Linked DNA regions of Caenorhabditis elegans. The protein of the gene in region 1 purifies or fractionates together with the protein of each later gene. This does not show direct contact. Each region holds a gene or a part of one and is shown on either strand. Other genes may lie near its edges. The genes, in order: F36H12.4 and F56D5.9.

Region 1 (8,859 bases):
ATCTGGATATTGCTCGTTTTTTTTTGTTCTCGTTTTATCGTGTTCTCTTTTCTCATTTTCTTGTTATATCTTCTCTACATTTCTCCGCCTATTTTACACATAAAACGTTGTGGCTGACGAAACCCGCAGACTGTCGGTGCACACAGCAATACATGTTCAGTTCTTTCGTTTTCCAAATTGGTTTTAACCCAGTTAACTAAGGTTAGCATTAATTTCGACCTTTCGAAAGATTGTGTTGAATAACAATAATTTTTGGAATTTTTGGAAATATTTTCAGGGTGACAGTGGAGGCAATTATATTCTTTCCCATCTCTCTCCCCATCCAAAACGACTAATGTCGATAGCTCAACACATTTCCCACAATTTTAATTCATGCTTTCAAGAAGGGCATCGAAGAGCTTGCCTGAAATTGAATTTACCTCAAAATTGAAACAGTAATTAAATAAATTTGAAGGAAAGTTCTTTTAAACGAAACAATCAGACTGGACTGGAACCGAATCAAATTTATTTTCCAATTACGAGCACTCCGGTATACAAATCAGGTAAACGAGGTCATTCTTCACTACGTTGCGATCCGGAAAATTGCTCGTAAACATTTTATAATTTTTTAAAAATTCTTTCTGACACGGCCCCTTTTGACAGTTCATTTGAAAAATTAATGTAACACCATTTACTATATATAAAGCGCTTATTCTGTGTGTCCATAGTTTGTAGTCTATGTAGTCTTTGTAGTCTGTGAAATTTTGGCTTCTGGAGGGATAGTGAGTTAGGGTTAGTGTAGGGATATAGTCGGGGTACTGTAGTGGTACGGTAGGAATACTGTAGGGTTACGGTAGTTTCATAAAAAAATTAATTTTCAGCCCCAGAAGTCGGGGGCCGTACGACGACAAGCACACCTACCACATCAAGGTGATCAACTCATCTGCTCGCCGTATTGGATACGGTATCAAGACCACCAATATGAAGAGACTTGGAGTTGATCCACCATGTGGAGTTCTCGACCCAAAGGAAGCAGTTCTTCTTGCCGTTTCCTGCGATGCTTTCGCCTTTGGACAGGAGGATACAAACAACGACCGTATCACTGTTGAGTGGACCAACACCCCGGATGGAGCTGCCAAGCAATTCCGCCGTGAATGGTTCCAAGGAGACAGTATGGTTCGTCGTAAGAACCTCCCAATCGAGTACAACCCATAGAGCCCTTAGCTATCTCTCTCAATAAATGATTTTTGAAAGATCGTTGTTTTTTCTCTTGTTTAAAATTTTCAGATTTTAAAACGTATCAAATTTGAGTACAACCCGAAGAAGGCTTAATAAGACGTCTCACTTTTTATTTTAATAAAGCTTCTTTGAGGAATTGATGTTTTAGTTGTAACCCTCTGTCATTCTGAAAGCCACAAAATTTCTTCAAAATTTCAAAATGTTCCTGATTATTTTTGGAATAGTTTGAGCATGTAATGTGTTTAATTTAATGTAACGTTTACACCCGCGATAATGCCCTCACCAACTCCCAACCAAATACCGCTACTTAAATGCACATCCAAGTGTCTTCCGACCAAAACGTCAAAAGATTGGAGATGATGGCGGAATTGTAGACCTATCAACTATGCTGCTACTTGGCACATTGCCAATGCTACTTACAGAAGAAAGAAGAACACCTTCTCCCCTCATTCTCTTCACAGGCAGATAGCACATCATCACCAACTCCCCCTCCCACTCTTTAGACTGTACCAACTCGAACAATTCGATCAGCACATTCTCCACAAGCTCCACCATCTTCACCAAACCTGAAAATTTTCAGTAAGATACATTTTTCAGATTTTGCTCTGTTCAGTTTCCTATTGCATTTCTCGTACAACAAATTTTTTGCACAAACTGAAAATTATGGTTTTGCCGCCAATACCTATCAAGACCAATGATTCGGGGGCGGAGAGTTTTTATTTGACATTGGAGCGCAATTTCAAACCATACATATTTTTCCCCAAATACGTGAAGAAATGTATTCTTTATCAGAAAGGTCAATCTTTGGAAATAAAAAAATCTACACGTATTACAGTAGTTTTAAAAGTTTCAAATTTATTCCTCAAGGATAACAGCTTAGATTCAGTCTCTCAAGAAATTGATTGTCTAACTGAGCAAGCATGATTCATTTGGTTTGTGCTTATCACATTTTCGCGATGTAAGTTTGATTAATTTCTGACAATTTGACTGAAATTGTGTCCAATTTCAGAATACTAATGTCGATGACTGTCTCTGTTGGATGCAAATCGAAGGCTAAAAAACCAAAAGCAGCTGCTCCGAACCCGGTAAGTATGAATGGGATTTTATAAACTGAAGTGTATTCAAAAACGGAAATTATTTCAGATAAGCTCGATCTCGTCAAACTCGAAAGTCGCCCCTCCAGCTTCTCCACCACCACCACCAGAAGCTGAAAAGAAGCCGGAAACGGGAGAAGAGCCGAAGAAAGAGAAATCGAAGATGAAAAGTGAAGTGAAGGAACCAGATGCTCCAAAAAAGGATGACAAAACATCAGATGAAAAGAAAGAGAAACAGGAGGATACATTTGATGCTGTCAAACCGAAACAACAGGATGCTGATAGAAAGAAGGAATTGTGTGATAAGAAGAAGGCTGAAAATAAGGGAGATTACAAGACATGGAATAAAATTATTGAAAATAGTGAATTCGATAAGACTTTGAGTGAAAATGATGGAAAGAAGAAGAAAAAGAAGAATAAGGATGATGAAAAGGATGAGAAAAAGGAAGATACAGATGGAAAGAAGGATGAGAAAAAGGAGGATGATAAGGATGACAAGAAGAAGACTGAAGAGGATGATAAGAAATAGAGCTATTGAATATTGAATAAAACCTTCGAAAATACAAATCGTTGTTCTTATTTTTGTCTTTCAGTATCCAAGTTCTCCGTTTTACCTCGATGCAATTGTTGTGTAGCGCCCCTTATCTAAATGTGTGTACCTAATGCCAAATATCTGGCTTAAAACTTTCGACAAGTCTTCCTCAAAAACCGCAGAAAATATATTACCAAATAGCATGTTTAGTGGTTTATCGATTTAAAACATTTTCATCGTCGTTTATTTCAATTTTCCAGAAAACTGCCCTTTTTAGATGGTTTCTCTACTTCACACAAATTATTTATTTAATTCACAAAAGAAAACGAGATAGTGTTGGTAAAAAAGAGACGCAGAAACAGTGAAAAAATTTTTAAATATTCAAATCCTAGGAGGCCGTGTTATTATCACTCGAGTTATAACTTAGATCTCGAGACTTTTTAACCATATTGATTATGAGAGCTGCTTTAAATGTGGAAAAAAATACTAAAATGAAGAGCGATTGCAGAGAAATTATGATAATAAATTTGTATCCGTTTAACCAAGTTATAAGTAGTTTATTAAGTTTTTACTTGAAATAGTTGATAGTAAGTTTTCCGGTCTTTCTTCTTCCAAAATGAATTATGAGAATCACTGAAAAATATATTAGTAATATTTATTAGTAATAAAAATATTTAAATGAAACAACTTACTGCAAACCACGAGAAGCAGAAGCACCAATCCGATGGTAATTGCAACATACCACGTGGCAATTTCTCCAGGAATCCAGAGAGTAAATGTGGTTGTAGTGGATGATTTGATGAACATGTAAACGGTAGTTGGATCTATTTCCACAAGGGAGCATGTTGTCTGGAAAATAAACAATTAATGTTTTAAAGAGGAGGAACAAGGAGAATCCCTGTGTTTTTGACGAAATTTACTTGCAAAAAGATCACCAAATTTAAGGGGATGAAAAATAATTTTAATTTCGCACAATATGGTTGTACATACTATACTAATACATTTAACCACAATTTTACTTAAATGCTGAAACAGTAATGTTTTTGTTTGCTTAAAGGAAAAGTGCACTGAAAATGATGAAACTGCGTGGCGTGTTTGCAGGGATTTTCAGAGTAATACGTAATAGTTTATAATTCTTCGGTTTTAAAAATGGAATATAACTAGCAAATTATTCTCAGAGAAGTTCGGTCAAAGTGAGTAGAACTTATTAATAAGCATTCTGAAACAGTAAAGATAACATTTTTTGGAATTGAAATTTCAAAATCAAAAAATTCGTTTTTTCTTGTTTATTTTGTCACACTGAAATTCAATACAAATTAGAGAAAAGCTCGAAAAATTGACATTTCTTGCGAATTTATGAAAACATTAAAAATTTGCAATAACAATTGACTTTAATTTGAATTCAAAAAAATAAAATTTTAATTTAATTTCTCAATAACCTTTTGAAATTTCACGTGACCTTTTCTCCCTACAAATTCATCTTGTTCCTATATAAGCTGCGCAAAAATCGAAAAACTTCAGTTTTCAACTTTTGGTTTTAAAAATTCCAAACCACTGAAACCAGTTAGTATCAATGATTGCACAAGTGAGTTTTCGCAGAGCCTTTTTTCAGAATTTATGTTTAATTTTTAGATCATGTTGCCAATGATTGCAATTTTCGTGCTACTTGGATCCATAGCAAATTGCGGTGGCAAGAAGAAAGGAGCAGCTGGAGCCGGAGCCGGAGTTGCAGCCAACAGCCCAAAAAAGGCAGATGGACCGTCGAAGAAGGAAACGAAGAAAGAAGGAGATGTGAGTTTAGAAGTACTTGCTGGGGTCTCACGAGCCAGGCACTTGCCTGCCTGTCTACAAGACTGATTCACAAATTTTTCAATGTTTCATTTAAATTTTGAAACGGAGAAAATTATGTATCAGGCAGACCAATTCACTTAACAAAATTTAAAATTTTCAGGACGGAAACTACGAGGAACTCGCCGTCCCACAATGATCCCCCTGCATCCCTGTCTCCCAGTTTCTCGAACTCTACATCTCTAGCAAAATAAATAATTTTTCTGGATAAAACTAACAAGATAAAAGTTATTCGGTGTTTCCCAAGAGTGTTTGTTGTTATAAATTTACTGTTTCTCTACAAAATTTGTAAGCCCTATTTTTGGGAGTTGTCATTGTCATTGCTTGGCCTCCAGAACTTGTTCTAATCAGTTTTCTGTCAATCCTCTTTAATTTTTCCTGATTCGAAAACAACCCCTCCATTGAAGAGTTTGAAGAATATAGAAGTTTTGGACACCTATTGTAGTCGTGAAACAGTTAATTTTTTTTTCATCAAGAAATGATGCAAAACTTTAACTTTCAAAACAAAACTTTGAGGTTTTCGGAGTATCGTTTGGAACTACTCAATATATTAAAATGACAGAATATCTTAGTAAAGACAGAAAAAAGTTATAATTTTTTACAGCCTCATATTCAGGAAAAATGTAAATGTGTGGCATAGTGCAGTTTTCGCCACTCTCAATTTTGAACGTCGACCAAAAATAGGTTTTTCTAGAAATTTAATTTCGTAATCGTTTAAATCCTTCACTGAATTTTTTGAGTGTTTGGAATTTTTATGAGTATCTAGGCAAACGCTCTGAAATTTCAGGTACTTTCAGCTAAATATTGGCATTCCATGGGCGCCCCACTCTTTGCAAGTAAAATAATTAAATTATTGTTCTTAAAACTTTTAATCCTTAGTTGAGAAATCCTATTTCAAAATTCGGTTTTTGAGGATTACTTTAAGCATATTTAAAAACGTTAAATCCGATATTCACCTTTTAGCTTTATGTAATTTTGAAACATTTTTTTTTAGTAAAACGCTTACATTATCCATCATAGTTTTCAGATCGATATCAATTCTATGAGATCCTGCGGCAAGGTTAGAGTAGAAAATGTCTGTTTCTTGACTTTTACAAGGTGACAGATGAATATCGATGGCTCCGGTTCTGAAAACTCTGGACATTATGTAACAAATAATTGAGAGACAGATGAATTAAATTTGTCTAACAGAAATAGTATCTTAAAGAGAGTGAAACATAACAAAGCAATTAAATCAAATATACTAAAAATTGTGTTTTAAGTAAAAAGTAAGAACTTACACAACATCCAAAAAAGCGTGAATATTTTCCATAGTTGATTGATATTTCAGCTCGATCATCCTCATTTCACCCTGTTCAACCGTAAATGTTCCAGTCTCATAAAATGCTACGTGGCTTTCTAACGACGGCTCTGCTCCGTTGATAAGTACTATCATGGATCCGTTGATGGAAAACTGAGATTCAAGTCTGAAATACATCAAAAGATGGAGTTTAATTAAAGAAGAATATTGGGCAAGAAAAACCTTATGATCAAAGGAGATGTTGGTTGTGTTGAGTTGCTATAAAACGCCACGGAAGAATCACAGGAGTAGGCATCTGAATGAATAAAGTAGAAAAATGAGTGAATATGGGTTATGAACTAGTCAAAAATAACAAAATCGCAAACATTTTTAACGTAATTGCAGAGACTTCAATTTTAAAGTTAGCATTACCACAAAATATTAAGATGGATTTTCTGCTCTCCAAAATTTCCTGTTTCAGTATACTGATTTATTTGAAGAAAACACGAATCAACCGATTCAGTTGACAATGGTTTTTTTTACCAAATTTTTTAAAATTTTAAAGAAAACACGAATCAATCTATTCAGTTGACAATGGTTTTTTTTAACCAAAATTCTTAGAATTTCAGAAAGAAAAAACAAATCAACCTATTCAGTTGACAATTGTTTTCTTTTACCAAATTTTTTAAAATTTTAAAGAAAAAACGAATCAACCTATTCAGTTGACAATGGTTTGCATCGAAATCAGGTGTGTGCGGCAAATCTCAAAATTTGCCGAGCTGAATTCCACTCATAGGCAGGGTTAAAGTATGCTAAGATTTAAATTTCAATCTATATGTTATAAAGTGAATGAAAAAACAAAAATAAATCAATAAACTGAAACATGTACCATTCTGTGAGGCCGAACTATTGGTTCCGATTTTCTTCGTTTTTTTTTGTTTAAATTACGTTAAAAGGTATACCCGATTTTTTCGCCAACCCAATAATTATCAGTAATCCGGAAAAGTCAAACTAAACGTTTTTTTTTTGAAATTTCTTGAAATCATATATTACCGTAATACATTTCCATTCGGGGACTTTTCAACGTAATTTCAAAATTTGGGGCGTAGGAAGTCGTGTAGAGTATTCCTTTGTTTTCTGGGCAAAATGTTATGTAAACCTGAAAATGTCTTGCTTTTTCCTTCTTTTAAAAAAATCTGAAGCACTGTCGCAAAATGTTTGAATATTTTAAACTTGAATCAAAAGTAGACATTAAAATTCGAAGAAAAATTTGTTCTGATCGACGACTTTCAAGATTTTGAACACAGATTTTTTCCAATTTTGAAAAAATTATATAAAATTTAGAAACTATGATAGTTGGTCATTGTGGTGCCATAAACATGTCTTTAAGTTAACAATAAACATTCTAGCCTCTAAAAAAGTAATACAGAAACATTTAAAATTTTCAAAAAAACTTGCCAAATTAGAAAAAAAAGATGAAATTTCTTCTTTTTCAATATATAATGAGCTGATTGAAATATGTATCAATGTTATGATTCCAGTCAAATGACTCACCTCCAATGCGTTTTCAGCGTTTTCAGATGTCAAACTAATTTTGACATTATCCTGTAGACTTTGTAGTTTGATGCTCCGAATATAGGGATTGTGCTCTGTAAAAAATAATTTGAGCACGGAATTAGAAATTAATTAGCAAAATTAAAGAAAAAGTTAAAGCTTAAAAAAATTTTGATTGCCGTTTCAAAATGCGTATTTTTTAGACGGGCCTTGAAGCAAAATAATGCTTCGATTTTTGTTTAAAATTTTTACATCCTTATCCTACAACAAAGATGACTTGTAACTTTTTCTTGAATTAGTGAAGATCAAGCAATTCCCCTGGTCTCACCGCGACCGAAAGCTATCGTACTCACTAGAGTTACTCGACATACTGGGGCTACGGTAGCTGCAAAATTTCGATAGTTTCGAAACCCGGTACCGTAAATTTGTGGCCACAATCGCTACTAGGTAACATTGTTCTTCAAATACTTGTTTTCTATCAATATCAATTTCACGTGAACTTCAAACGACATAACCTTTCGAAAAAAATAATAAAAAAACCAAGTTGATGAAGGCTGGATAAATCAGTTCTGATTGTTACAATCGTACAAAATCGAGTAATTTTTCTGTCCAAAAAAGATGGCAATAGAAATCAGTGTCTTCATCGGCATCACCGTTGCTGGATGGATTCTCGTGGGATGTGGTGGAAAAAAGAAAAAGGCTGGAGCTGTAAAGGTATTATTTTACAAACTTTTATGTATGATTCCTGGGACCAAAACTTTCGTGTCCTCGGTAGTATATATACTCTATAGTGGTGAGTATCCGCGTCTGTCACATGCGAGACCCGGGTTCTAACTGGGAGAAACTTCTTTGCACTTTTATCCACCAAAAGCTTTATGTTCCAGTCTTCAACAGCCCCAGCACCGGCTCCGAAAGCCGATAGTAAGATGAAGGCGCCTGAGGAAAAGGAGAAATCGAAAAAGAGTGAAAAGAAAGAGGAGCCGAAGAAGGAAGAGGAGAAAAAGGAGAAATCGAAGAAGAGCGAAGGGAAGAAGAGTGATAAGAAGGAGGAGAAGAAAGAGGAGAAGAAGGAGGAGAAGGAGGATAAAAAGGAGGAGAAGAAGGAGGAAAAGAAGGAAGACGATAAGAAAGATGAGAAAAAGGATGAGAAAAAGGATGAAAAGGAAGAAGATAAGAAGAGTGAAGATAAGAAGGAGGATGAAAAAGAAAAAGATGACGATAAGAAGGAAGACAAGAAGGATGATAAGAAGAGTGATAATAAGGATGATAAAGATGATGAGAAGAAAGAAGAGAAGAAAGATGATAAAGAGGAAAAGAAGGAGGAAAAGAAGGAG
Region 2 (12,636 bases), 4.2 Mb from region 1:
TAATGGAACAACGAGTATTGTTCAATTTTTAATTGATCCGACCATAAAACATTTTTTTCAAATAAAATTGGTAGAAATTGGAAAAATTGGAATCTTCATTCCTTTTCTGCAAAAAATAAATAAGTTGAGTATATTTGAAGAGTCTCAATAATGATATATTTGCATTATTTGCACGTACTCATTGCTAGGTGAAGTTTCAAGTAATTCAAGTAACTAAAAAAACGACATGATCCAGTGTTTCTCTTATTGTGAACTTGGAAGTTGTTAAAAAATGTCTGGTATTTTAATTTTCTAGAAAAAATTTATGAAAAAGCAAAGCACATTCCTGATTAAAAAAAAAACATAACTTCCTATGATGATCTAGAAATCGAGAGAGGAAGATGTCATGTAATAGATAAAAACACGGCGAAGGCATTTGAATATTTATGAGATTATTTTTGATCTTGTTTTATATATATTCTAGACGTTTTAGGGTCAATTTCTATTATTTTTTTACAGTTGACGCACATCAAAAAAATTTCGTCCAAAAAGTAGGCGATAGGCAGGCATGAGACATGCTAACTGCGGACTCTGTTAGGTTCCCATAGTTTCCAAAACAAACAAAAAAACAATTTTAATTGTTCTGAAAAAGCAACAACACAAAAAAGGATCACAGACACCAAATCGAATGAGAAAGTGCAAAGGGCCAATATTGGAAAGAAGTTGGTGTCGACATATGCTCAGAAAATCAAATTTCGATTCGTTTCGCTTCAACTATTTTGGGGCCACCCTCCCTAGAATGAGACGAAATCCCGAGGATGGAGGGGGCATCAAAAAGTTGTCCTTAGAATGACAACAACACACGAAAATTGCCGAAATTTTTAGAGAAGAAATGTTCGAAAAGGACAAGATGAGAATGAAAGAAGGGAGGAAGAGAAAATTAATTGAATCATTCAAACACACACACACACATCCACTGAGGACTCACACGTTTTACTAATTTTTTGGGTGAATTTTGTTTAAACGGGTGTGTTTTTCGAATATTTTCAAGTGTCACCAGTTCCTGGTTTTTTCAGTAATAATAACAGTTCAGTGAACAAAAAGTACATTTGCCACCACCCTCAATAACTAAAAAATTCTGCTGCCAAGGAAGGTTTTTTACTGGTTGAGTATATTATCTGAAGAGTAGAGTCTGTGGGGATTTTAAATAAACATATTTATAAAAATAGCCCAAAATGGCCGAATCTTATAATAAAAAATTTCAAAAAGATTTGATGTTCTTAGGATTTCGGTAAGAACTTAGTCAATTTTGATAATTTCAACTTTTTTGATAATATCAACGGAAGCTTCTAGCATTACTGCTGAGCAATATTTAACGACAAATAATGGAAAATGTAAATAAACAAATATGAGTACTCGTAGAAAAAAATTGTGTTTGGAAGACAACCATTTTTAACAGCGAACACAGAAGTTCAACGAATTTTAGAACTGTGTTATGCATGTTTGGAAACCATAGAGGTATTTTAACCAATTTATTGTAATTTCCTTAGAGAAAATGGTTTTCAAAATTTGTATTGAAACGATCAAGAAGGAGAAATCATGATTTTATGGCATGGATTCACAAACAGTTTTTATTCTCCGAAATCATTAAACCATTTCGCAATCATAAAAGCTGTTTCAAACATATATTTTATGCAAAAATAATGTTTGATGATCGAAGAAAAGTTTACTAAACATTGGAAACCATAAAAGAAACTATTAATTTTTGAGCACGATTTTGTAGGCTCGGGGATTAACTGGTTATTTCGGTGAGTCAGTGAATTGTGTTATCATGTTAAACAGCATACCGGAGTTTTTTTTTGGATTTTACCAGCAAATGATTCCAAACGTTCAAACTTTTAATTTTTTTCTGAAAAAAAGAGAACACGCACACGAATTCTAGCCGCTGCTAATGAAAATGGAAAGCGCTCGAATGATTTTCCCGAGCTTTGTTGACTTCTTTCCAAAAATTACAATAAACATTTTTTATTCCAGATTTTCAGCAATACTTTCTTTAATCTATTTCATTTGATTTTGTAATCATTCACCAAAATTTTTCTGAGCAATTTGGGTCATGCGAAAAAATTTAACTTGCAACGAAGAAATATTTTATTCAATGTAAAAATTAAGATTAATATTGTTTTTTTAAGTGAGTTCAAAATCAGAGTAACAATGAGAATTCCAAAATTTTAAAGATCTGGTTGATAAAATTGTTTTTTCTCTGGTAGAACAACGTTTTATAATTTATAAAATACTAAAAGGTAATTTGTTTCTGGGCTAAACAGTTTAGCCTAAACTATAAAGAATTACAATAAACAGAAAAAATAATTAATGTAAAATTCTTGCGTTACTATGACTGAAACTTTGACTTAAATGTAGATGGTTCACACTTCCAAATGACTTTAAAACTATTTTTCTAGTTGATTTGGTGAGCACAAAATATACAAAAAAGTTCAATGAACTGATTGCCAGCAAACGTAGATCATAGGATATTGTTTGAAGCTCGAAGGGAAGATTTTCAAAATGTTGCTGAAAATAATTATATTATTTTCACAAATTATCTTGTTTGATATTCTTACCGGATAAAGCCTCATGTGTAAGTATAAAATCTCATAAACACTCAAATAAACTCCAATAAAACATGCTTGACGAATCATTTCATTTTCTCGTTTTACGTGTGACAAAGATATTGACGAGGCAGTGCTCTTCCAGCGATTTCTCAGATATTTTTGATAAATTAGAATTCCAGAATTGACTACCATTGACACAATTGGAACATAAATAAGAAAGTTATTTTGAAATAAAGTGATTGGATGACGAGACGGAGCACATGCTGATTCGTGGTAACTGGTCAAAGCATTGAAGTTTAATGAGCAATTTGAAAAATATGGAATCAGAAGCCAAATGGTAATGAGAATCTGCAACTCTTTCAGGGTATTATAGGTTTCAAAATACTGTAGCCTACCGTAACCCCAGTGCAATACACAACAACCTTCGTGTCGCTGAACCATTTTGATGATTTAATCGGTGATATGAAAATAGACATCCTATGGAAAGTCATTATCCAATCCAAAAATAATGGAGCTAAATAACAAATGGTGAATAGCAGAGATACTTCTGTTCCAACAGCATGACGATACTCTGAAAATTGACTGTGGAGCTTATGATTTCAAAACTGTTTCAGAATTCAGATCAAGCATCTTGCCAACTCACTCTGATATCCACCATTAGGCTCGATCCATTCAGAAATAGGCCAGGCGTCTACCATTAGAAAGTCTATCAATTTTTCCGAAATTCCAAAAATTGTCATAAAAATAATATAGATAAAGGGTCCAGATTGGGAAGACATTTTCAGTTTTAAAACTGAAAATAGCAGAAAGAAGTCAAATATTAAAAATAATAAATTGAGAATTGAAAATACCAGCTGAGCTAGATTAACTATCCAATATATCATTTTGCGGGGTTTGAAAAATAGAAATAATATCACAAATCAAAATATTCAAACTGTGAGGTGATCAGTCGAGCAAATGCTTCTGCTCGAGTGCATGACAAATTTGCTTTAGAACTCAACACTGACGAGAAAAAGTAGAACTTTGTTTTTCCGCGCACATTTTCCTGAGAATCTTGGAGAAAATGTAAAATAGTGACACATTCTTACGTGGGAATATCAACAAGCAGTATACTTTATTTTAAGAAGCAGAGTAAAAAACTGATCTTACGGACAAAGATTGAAATATTCGTTCTAGATTTTTGATAAAAAATATGTCAGCAATCTCTTTCACTTTTTCGCATTCGGGATAAGTTTTCGATGTGTAAATCAGGAGCCTCACATCATTGGCATCACAATGTGCACTGTAAATTTTAGATTCTCCGAGAAAAGTGTCATTCTGAAAATTGGACTTTTTCTCAAAATCATACAAATTTTGCAGGTAAACAACTCAAAAAAAAGTAAAGTAGGAAAATGAAAACTCAGCTCACAATCAGAATACAAATAAAAAGTTAAGCCTACTCTTTGACAATAAAATGAAAAAAATCGAAAAAATTGGACATTACGTGAAGACAGTTGCGAACAAGAAGAATTTTTTGGAAAAAAATCGCTTGTTGCTCTTATTTTAGTCCTAGTGATAAACAAAACATTTCATTGATTATTTTCGATTTTCTAGTGAAGTGATTTCTCCGGTAATGCAAGGTGAGCAAAGTTTGTTCATAAAATCATGCATGTTTCATTTGATTTCAGATGAATAAAGCTATTAGTATACTCTTTGCAATTACCTTAATTTTTTGTTTCAATCGACTGTTAGCGTTCTCAACATCCACCGAAGAAACCACATTTGAAAGTGATAGTGAGTTGAATTTTCTATTTTCATTTCACTTTTATCAATTAAACATTTTAGTAAAATCGCCAAATCTCGAAAACTTCATGAATGATGTTTCCACCTTGATTAATCTAACGAAAGCAATATCAAGTCAAGCACGTCTTTTCCATGATTTCGATCTGGAAACTTCTACATTTTTCAAAGCAACGCCACTTGATCTACAAGCATTTCTTGCTCTTCAACCGAATGAAACGATGGCAGCATTCACAAAGTTTTACAATGAAATTCGAAAGGTAACAGTCCCGTCGAACGTTACAGAATTGAAGACAGTAGTGAACCACTTAGTTATGCTATCTTCGTTGGAATCATATTTTCACCGAAAAAAATTTTCCCCGAAAAAAAAGTTCAGTCGTATATTCGGAGATTTGAAAAGTTGAAAAGTAAGATGCCAAATCCACCTGATCTAAAACCACCCGAATTTAAATATTTTGATGATATCGAATATTGTCTATCGAATGACATTGATAGAACAAAATTATCATTTTGCTTTGCTCTTTTCTCCGACGGAAAGATTGAAGAATTATTCAAAAAAGACATGGATCAGCTCAGCAAAAGTCTCGAATACAAAAATGTCGTCAAAAAGTTTAACGAAAGGCACTCTGATATAAGTATATTAGATGACATTATTGACGCTGTTCAAGAATTTACCGTAAATGGTGAATTTGTAAAATCTTCTGCTTCGTTATTGAGAACAATCAGTCAAAATCTTGTCAAAGTTAGGAAGGCTTTGAAAAAGAACAGCAAAGGTGTTGGTGATGGTATGAAGAGGACATTATTTGGCGAAAAAGTTAACCTCTATGAATCAAAAATTAAAGAAGTTGCTGGAATGTTGAGAGTATTCAATTCCAAGTGGCTGAAACATGTACTTGGGGATGAGAACACAAAGACCCTTTATGATGGACTCGAACCTATCAGAAATCATTTGAAAACAATGAAAAAAGTGAAGAAGATAGTTTTAAAACATCCGGATAGCTTAAGAGCAGCTTTATTGATGTCAGTAAAAATCAGTGATCTGGAAAAGTGGAACGATTTCGAAATATCGAGTACTATCATAGACGTTGTGGAGACTTGCGTTGTTAATTTGCCCACATTCACGAAATCTTTTGATTATGAAAAATTTAAAAATATATTCATTCATATGGATAATCTTGCCACTGAACTACATAAATACATTCGAAGAGTACGAAAAATAATAAAGCAGAAAGATAAAACCTTGGATGAACTGAAGAATATACGAGTAAAAGTTAAGGAAATCATGAAGTCCGATTCTGGAAATTGGCGTCAAATACAATCCAATTTATATAACAAAATAAGTCCAAATGATACCAAGTCTATCAAGAGAATGTCCGAAAATGTCACGCAATTGATAAGTGATTACGATGGAAGTGAATTTGTTAAGAGTATCATCAACGCTCCGTCTCTTGATTATTTGAATGATGTTTTATTAGAAGTTAATGTGACAAAAGCTTTTACCATTGGAAAATGTTTGAGAACTGGAAACTTTAAATTAGGAAAAATAAACAATAATCTGTTTAACCTTCTTAATTTTGAATCATTCAAATCTCCTGAAACAGAATCTGCATCAAAAATGGTTGGATCTTATATGGATGACCTTTCTAAAATTCTGAAGGCGCTGAACTCTGCTAGAGACAATACATTGAAGAAGTTAAGTGATGAGATCAAGTATTTGAATAGGTTCAATCAATCCGAAGAAATCAATAAACCTTTACTTATTGGAAAAGAAGCAATAGAGGAACTGCATATTAACCAGAAAGAGATGAATCTCCTACGAAGTATGTTAAGTTCAACTTCTCATTTCAATGGCAACTTCTGGAAAGTATGGGAGTCTCAAGGCAAAAAGAAATTAAACGAGACTATTGAAAAAATGAGCAATTTGAATTATTTGATGGGAAATCGCGTGAATAATGACATTTCAAGTGTTGCGATTGTATTTGACGAAGCTGCGACTTTTCATGGATTGGTTGGAGTTTTCAAAAATTTCGATGAATTCAAAGAAAACGTGAAACATTTAAAAGGAAGTCAGAAGATAATCGAACAAATGGAAGGAATTAAAGCTCTTCGTTTGGATTTCACTTATTACCACAAAGAACTCAAAGCTGCTTCAGAGAGTGTCACATTTCTTAACAAATTTCTTGATGAGCTTTTTGAAATGGGCAGGCATGAAACAATTTGGATACAAAATTCAATTCCATGGTACTTCATTGTTCTCATCATATTTGGATCACTTGTTCTTTTCATCATTCTCTTGATTATCTTGTATTCAATAACTCCAAATGGAAGAAGGAAGTTGAAACGATTTTATTTGAATCGATTTGCATCAGAAGCAGTTACAAATTTGCACTGGAGATATTCAGTGAGTTATTATTCAATTTTCAGTTCAAATAAAATTAATTTCAGTTCTGGATTGATCAAGAAGCTGATAAAAATGCATTATGTGAAGCTGTTAGAGAAATTAATTTCGATCAAGTGAAGGTATTGGTAGATAAGGGAGTGTTCATTAATGTGTACAACAGTAAGAAGATAATCAATCAATTTTTATTTAATTTGATGTAATTCCAGTGTTTGGAAATACTCTTCTTCATGCTGCTGCGAAATATGGACACGTTAAGATTGCTGATTTTCTCATTCGGAATGGTGCTGATAGAGGAGCTTTTAATGTTGAGAATAAGACACCAGAACAAGTATTGGCTGAAAGTGTGCAGGTAAGCTAGATTTTATATATTTAAGCTGTAGTTTCTTGCATTGCTCTACTTTGACGGCTCATATATCGGTTGTCGTTGGTTTCATCAAAAATGTGTAACATTGAAGCAAAAATTTGCCATTTGATAGTTTTTCATTAAGCCAAAGAGAACTGAAATTTAAATTGTCAAAGTGGAGCAAGGGGGTCAGTATTATTTTGAAATACGTTAAATGTTACATTTCCAGACAACAACCAAATTTCTAACATTGACTAGTCCTACCAGTGGAAGTGAAGGAGTAACAAAGAGTAAACTGACAGAAATGGGAAATCTGACGGATATTGAGAAGATTTTTGAGAAGCACAGAGGAAAAGTGTTTAGACAGAGTGAGTTTATCCATCCTTCAATTAATGTAATTTGGGAGTATTTATTTCAGAACTCCCAGAGCTACTTCCAACTATGTCGTATCGTATTCGTATTGATGCTCAATTGACTGGTATTACTTACGAATCATTCATTGAAAGGTACAAAGGAAATGTGAGTTTATGTTCGTTTTGAGTTATCAGTTAAACCCAAAATTTAAAGGTGACTGATCAAATGTCGGGTGTAACTCATTTCATTGTATTAACTGATGCTACTGGTCTTTTTGAATCAGATGATTTTGGTTACATAATGTGCATTTTCTTGCCAACATTAATCATGAAACAGCAGTGGATGAATGACTGTTTGAAAAAGAAATCAAACTTCCGAAATGATTATAAATATCGTGTGGAAAGAGTGAAATACAAGGGAGTCGTGTATGAAACAGTTTTGAAATGGGCCGAATGGATTCACAAACAAAAAATTCCTTTCTTGTTTGGAGTACATTTCCATGTGGCAATCGAGAAGATGTCTGAAAATGAGAAGATGCATTTGAAACAGTTGGTTGAAATGCACGGAGCCACATGGATGGATCAGATGCCAAACAAAGCGAATTTCAATGCAGGATCCCACCCATTCCACCATTTCCATCTCGGACCACTTTTCATTATCCACGAAAAGAAGGTATGTTGCGTAATATTTAACTTGACAAATAATTAATTCCCAGTGCATTTGCTTTCTAAATTCGATAAGAATTCGATTTTTAAGTTATTTTTTCCAGAATAACATGGAAACATATAAAAACGTGACGGTGATGTACCAAAAGCCGAAATTTATTTCAAATGGTAGTTCAATTATTCCTCATCCAAAACGGTAGTCACTGGAATAGGAACCTTTCGCTCTGGATCATAGAAGCATTCCAACTTCAACATGAAAATAATGAATTGATCATACGTCATCAGAGTGTACATCTTGTCGTTTTTATATGTTTCCATGTTATTCTGGAAAAAATAACTTAAAAATCGAATTCTTATCGAATTTAGAAAGCAAATGCACTGGGAATTAATTATTTGTCAAGTTAAATATTACGCAACATACCTTCTTTTCGTGGATAATGAAAAGTGGTCCGAGATGGAAATGGTGGAATGGGTGGGATCCTGCATTGAAATTCGCTTTGTTTGGCATCTGATCCATCCATGTGGCTCCGTGCATTTCAACCAACTGTTTCAAATGCATCTTCTCATTTTCAGACATCTTCTCGATTGCCACATGGAAATGTACTCCAAACAAGAAAGGAATTTTTTGTTTGTGAATCCATTCGGCCCATTTCAAAACTGTTTCATACACGACTCCCTTGTATTTCACTCTTTCCACACGATATTTATAATCATTTCGGAAGTTTGATTTCTTTTTCAAACAGTCATTCATCCACTGCTGTTTCATGATTAATGTTGGCAAGAAAATGCACATTATGTAACCAAAATCATCTGATTCAAAAAGACCAGTAGCATCAGTTAATACAATGAAATGAGTTACACCCGACATTTGATCAGTCACCTTTAAATTTTGGGTTTAACTGATAACTCAAAACGAACATAAACTCACATTTCCTTTGTACCTTTCAATGAATGATTCGTAAGTAATACCAGTCAATTGAGCATCAATACGAATACGATACGACATAGTTGGAAGTAGCTCTGGGAGTTCTGAAATAAATACTCCCAAATTACATTAATTGAAGGATGGATAAACTCACTCTGTCTAAACACTTTTCCTCTGTGCTTCTCAAAAATCTTCTCAATATCCGTCAGATTTCCCATTTCTGTCAGTTTACTCTTTGTTACTCCTTCACTTCCACTGGTAGGACTAGTCAATGTTAGAAATTTGGTTGTTGTCTGGAAATGTAACATTTAACGTATTTCAAAATAATACTGACCCCCTTGCTCCACTTTGACAATTTAAATTTCAGTTCTCTTTGGCTTAATGAAAAACTATCAAATGGCAAATTTTTGCTTCAATGTTACACATTTTTGATGAAACCAACGACAACCGATATATGAGCCGTCAAAGTAGAGCAATGCAAGAAACTACAGCTTAAATATATAAAATCTAGCTTACCTGCACACTTTCAGCCAATACTTGTTCTGGTGTCTTATTCTCAACATTAAAAGCTCCTCTATCAGCACCATTCCGAATGAGAAAATCAGCAATCTTAACGTGTCCATATTTCGCAGCAGCATGAAGAAGAGTATTTCCAAACACTGGAATTACATCAAATTAAATAAAAATTGATTGATTATCTTCTTACTGTTGTACACATTAATGAACACTCCCTTATCTACCAATACCTTCACTTGATCGAAATTAATTTCTCTAACAGCTTCACATAATGCATTTTTATCAGCTTCTTGATCAATCCAGAACTGAAATTAATTTTATTTGAACTGAAAATTGAATAATAACTCACTGAATATCTCCAGTGCAAATTTGTAACTGCTTCTGATGCAAATCGATTCAAATAAAATCGTTTCAACTTCCTTCTTCCATTTGGAGTTATTGAATACAAGATAATCAAGAGAATGATGAAAAGAACAAGTGATCCAAATACGATCAGAACAATGAAGTACCATGGAATTGACTGTGATTTCAAAAATCTTTTCTTTTTTGTCATTTTAATCGAAAACAATCCATCAAGGAATGTACTCAAATCTTGAATGCTCGTTGTAGCAAAAGTTAGTTCTTTCCGAAATGTGGTAAAATCCAATCCAAGATCGTCCAATTTTTTGAACAGTATTATTACTTCTTCTTCGTTTTGTTTGATATTCGTAGCATTTTCTTTGAATGAGATGAAATTTGTCAATGCACCATTCAATCCGTGAACTTTGGAAGCTTCATCAAATATATTTATAACACTTGTTAAGCTGTTCTTGAATTCATTTTTTATCCATTCCTCCAACTTATTCACTTCCTCAATCATATTTTGTAATTTTCCTTTTCCCTGACTTTGCCATGTGTTCCAAAATGGGTGCATAAACTTTGTATCTGTGGATATAATTGTTTGTAAAAGCTTTTCTTCTTTTTGAACATGTGATATAGTTCTGATAGCTTCTCTTCCTGATTTAAGATTATTCTCAATAACATTGTTTGTTTTATTGAAAGTGTTCAAATACGTTGTTTCTTCGGTTATGTTCTTTTTTGTGGTTTTTCTCAAAGTATTGATCACATCAATAAAATTGCTAACTCCATTTAAGTATTCGACTGTCGATTTCACATGATTTTCTGTTTCACTCAATGTAAAATACTTCAAATGTTTTGCTCCAATCAACACCTCATCAACTTGTCCTTTGTCAAAGTTACTTCTTGAAAGACATTCTCCAATTGATATCATTTTTGATACATCAAATTGTGATAAAATGTTAATTATTCCATCCATTGGCATATGGTTTACAATTCTATCCATAAATGAAGTATCATACCTATTTGAAAATCTTTGAAAATCTTTAACATGAGACAACATTGATTTTATGTTATCCGTATCATTTCCTTTTAACATATTTTCAATTCTGAACCCAATTTGTTCAGCATTATTTTATGCTTGCGGAGCCCAAGACGTCGTGATTGTTCTCAACTGCCTCAATCCTTCCATGACATCGTTTTTAGTTTGGAGTAGAGCAGTTGCACTTTTGAAATAATCATTTAAGTCAGAAATAAGCAAATCTAGAAATTTGAAAGTCTCCTGAAACGTTGTGTAATCAAATGAATCAGTGACATTTGGAATAGTTGAAGTACAACTGCTGCCTGCAGCAATGATCTCCTTTGAAATTTGGAGATTTCCATTTCCTTTCGAGGTTTCTATAACAGAAATTGCATTTTTAACTTTTTTCGCAATTTTCTGATGCACTCTAAGTTTGATCAATGTATCGTTAATCATCTTTAGTGTTTCACTGTACGTATTCATTGAATTCAATCCAGTTTTCAGCCTCGTCATATTTCTTTCACCAAATATTGATGTGAGCCATGGTGATTTGAGTGCAGATAATGTTTCCATCACTTCCTTGAATACGGTGTTATTCAATTTAATGTGTTGTGGAAAAAATGCTGGATTCATGTTAAGCGCAATATTGTTTTTAATGTTTTTCAAGGCTTTTTAACTGGTTTGAGTTCTCTATTCAAGAATTTAAGTGATTTTGGTAAAGATTTCATAACTTCCTTGTTGATTAAAAACTCTTGAGCTAATGAAACAATTATTTCAAGATGTTTGATATTATCAAACCCCTTTGAGAAACGATAGGAAATTTCAGCCTTGTTCAAACTGTCAGTGAGCTTTTCAAAATCTCTTAAAATTGATTTTTCCGTACTTTCTTCACTTAATATCTGCTGACACAAATAAGTGTTTTGAACCTTATCCACAAGACATTTTTAAATATCAAAGAGCAGACGAAACTCAGGTGGTTGCAGATTGTCTATGTCATTAAGAAGATTTTCCAGCATTTGAGGTAGCTCACTTATCAAAGTTTTGTTAGCAATATTTGATAAATCTGATAACTCAACACTTGCCAATTGAGTCAATAGTTGTGTTGGTCTAGCCATTCCATCAATATCAGTGTTAAATTTCAAACTTCGAATCTGTTCGTAGAACTTGTTAACGTTTGATGCCATTTTTTCCGGCTCCTTCATCGTCATGAATGCATGAAGTACCTCGAAACTCGAATTGAAATATGACGAAGTTACCGTTGCAAAGTTATGAAATACTCGAGATTGGCGAGCAATTCCATTTGTCAAATGAATCAATGTAGACACGCGATCCACAAAAATATCGATATTTGTTTGTTGTACTGAAAAGAAACAAAATAATTCCAAAAATGGCGGTACCTACAGAACTAAGGTTTAATCAAATAAAAAATTACAAGCAACATAAATGCTATTCATATATAGAAAAAATTTTCACTTTTTTATAAATAATAATTTAACATGAAATAAAGGAGTAGCGTGATCAGTAAACTTAGTTTGGAGGAAATTCACAGTTGAAAAATTGAGTACTTAAACGTTGGATTTCTCTTTCTTTTTTTTTGAGTTATTCTTTCTATTTTTATGTTATGGTATTTATTTATTTTTTGAAGACAGATTTTTTTAAAAGATTATTTTGGGTATTCTAAATTTTTAACTAAAACAATATCCCAATT

What was found.
Region 2: the proteins of F36H12.4 (region 1) and F56D5.9 fractionate together in Caenorhabditis elegans (co-fractionation; one large-scale study listed by BioGRID). This does not show direct contact.

The regions. Positions count from the first base shown.
Region 1 is NC_003282.8:5,264,728-5,273,586, forward strand, and holds F36H12.4 (uncharacterized protein), read left to right. Parts: upstream 1-4,375; 5' UTR 4,376-4,417; coding exon 4,418-4,429; intron 4,430-4,476; coding exon 4,477-4,635; intron 4,636-4,795; coding exon 4,796-4,831; 3' UTR 4,832-4,899; downstream 4,900-8,859. Other genes in the region: F36H12.5 (Lipoprotein), read left to right, coding at 2,139-2,176, 2,228-2,303, 2,362-2,841; F36H12.17 (Cadherin domain-containing protein), read right to left, coding at 3,413-3,477, 3,537-3,693, 5,699-5,819, 5,973-6,158, 6,215-6,287, 7,025-7,130, 7,526-7,620; F36H12.3 (Major sperm protein), read left to right, coding at 8,144-8,239, 8,410-8,859.
Region 2 is NC_003282.8:9,414,126-9,426,761, reverse strand, and holds F56D5.9 (BRCT domain-containing protein), read left to right. Parts: upstream 1-4,253; 5' UTR 4,254-4,255; coding exon 4,256-4,361; intron 4,362-4,412; coding exon 4,413-4,627; intron 4,628-4,743; coding exon 4,744-6,768; intron 6,769-6,812; coding exon 6,813-6,927; intron 6,928-6,974; coding exon 6,975-7,117; intron 7,118-7,340; coding exon 7,341-7,479; intron 7,480-7,529; coding exon 7,530-7,630; intron 7,631-7,678; coding exon 7,679-8,137; intron 8,138-8,234; coding exon 8,235-8,330; downstream 8,331-12,636. Other genes in the region: srxa-2 (G_PROTEIN_RECEP_F1_2 domain-containing protein), read right to left, coding at 2,347-2,547, 2,598-2,936, 2,984-3,159, 3,232-3,367.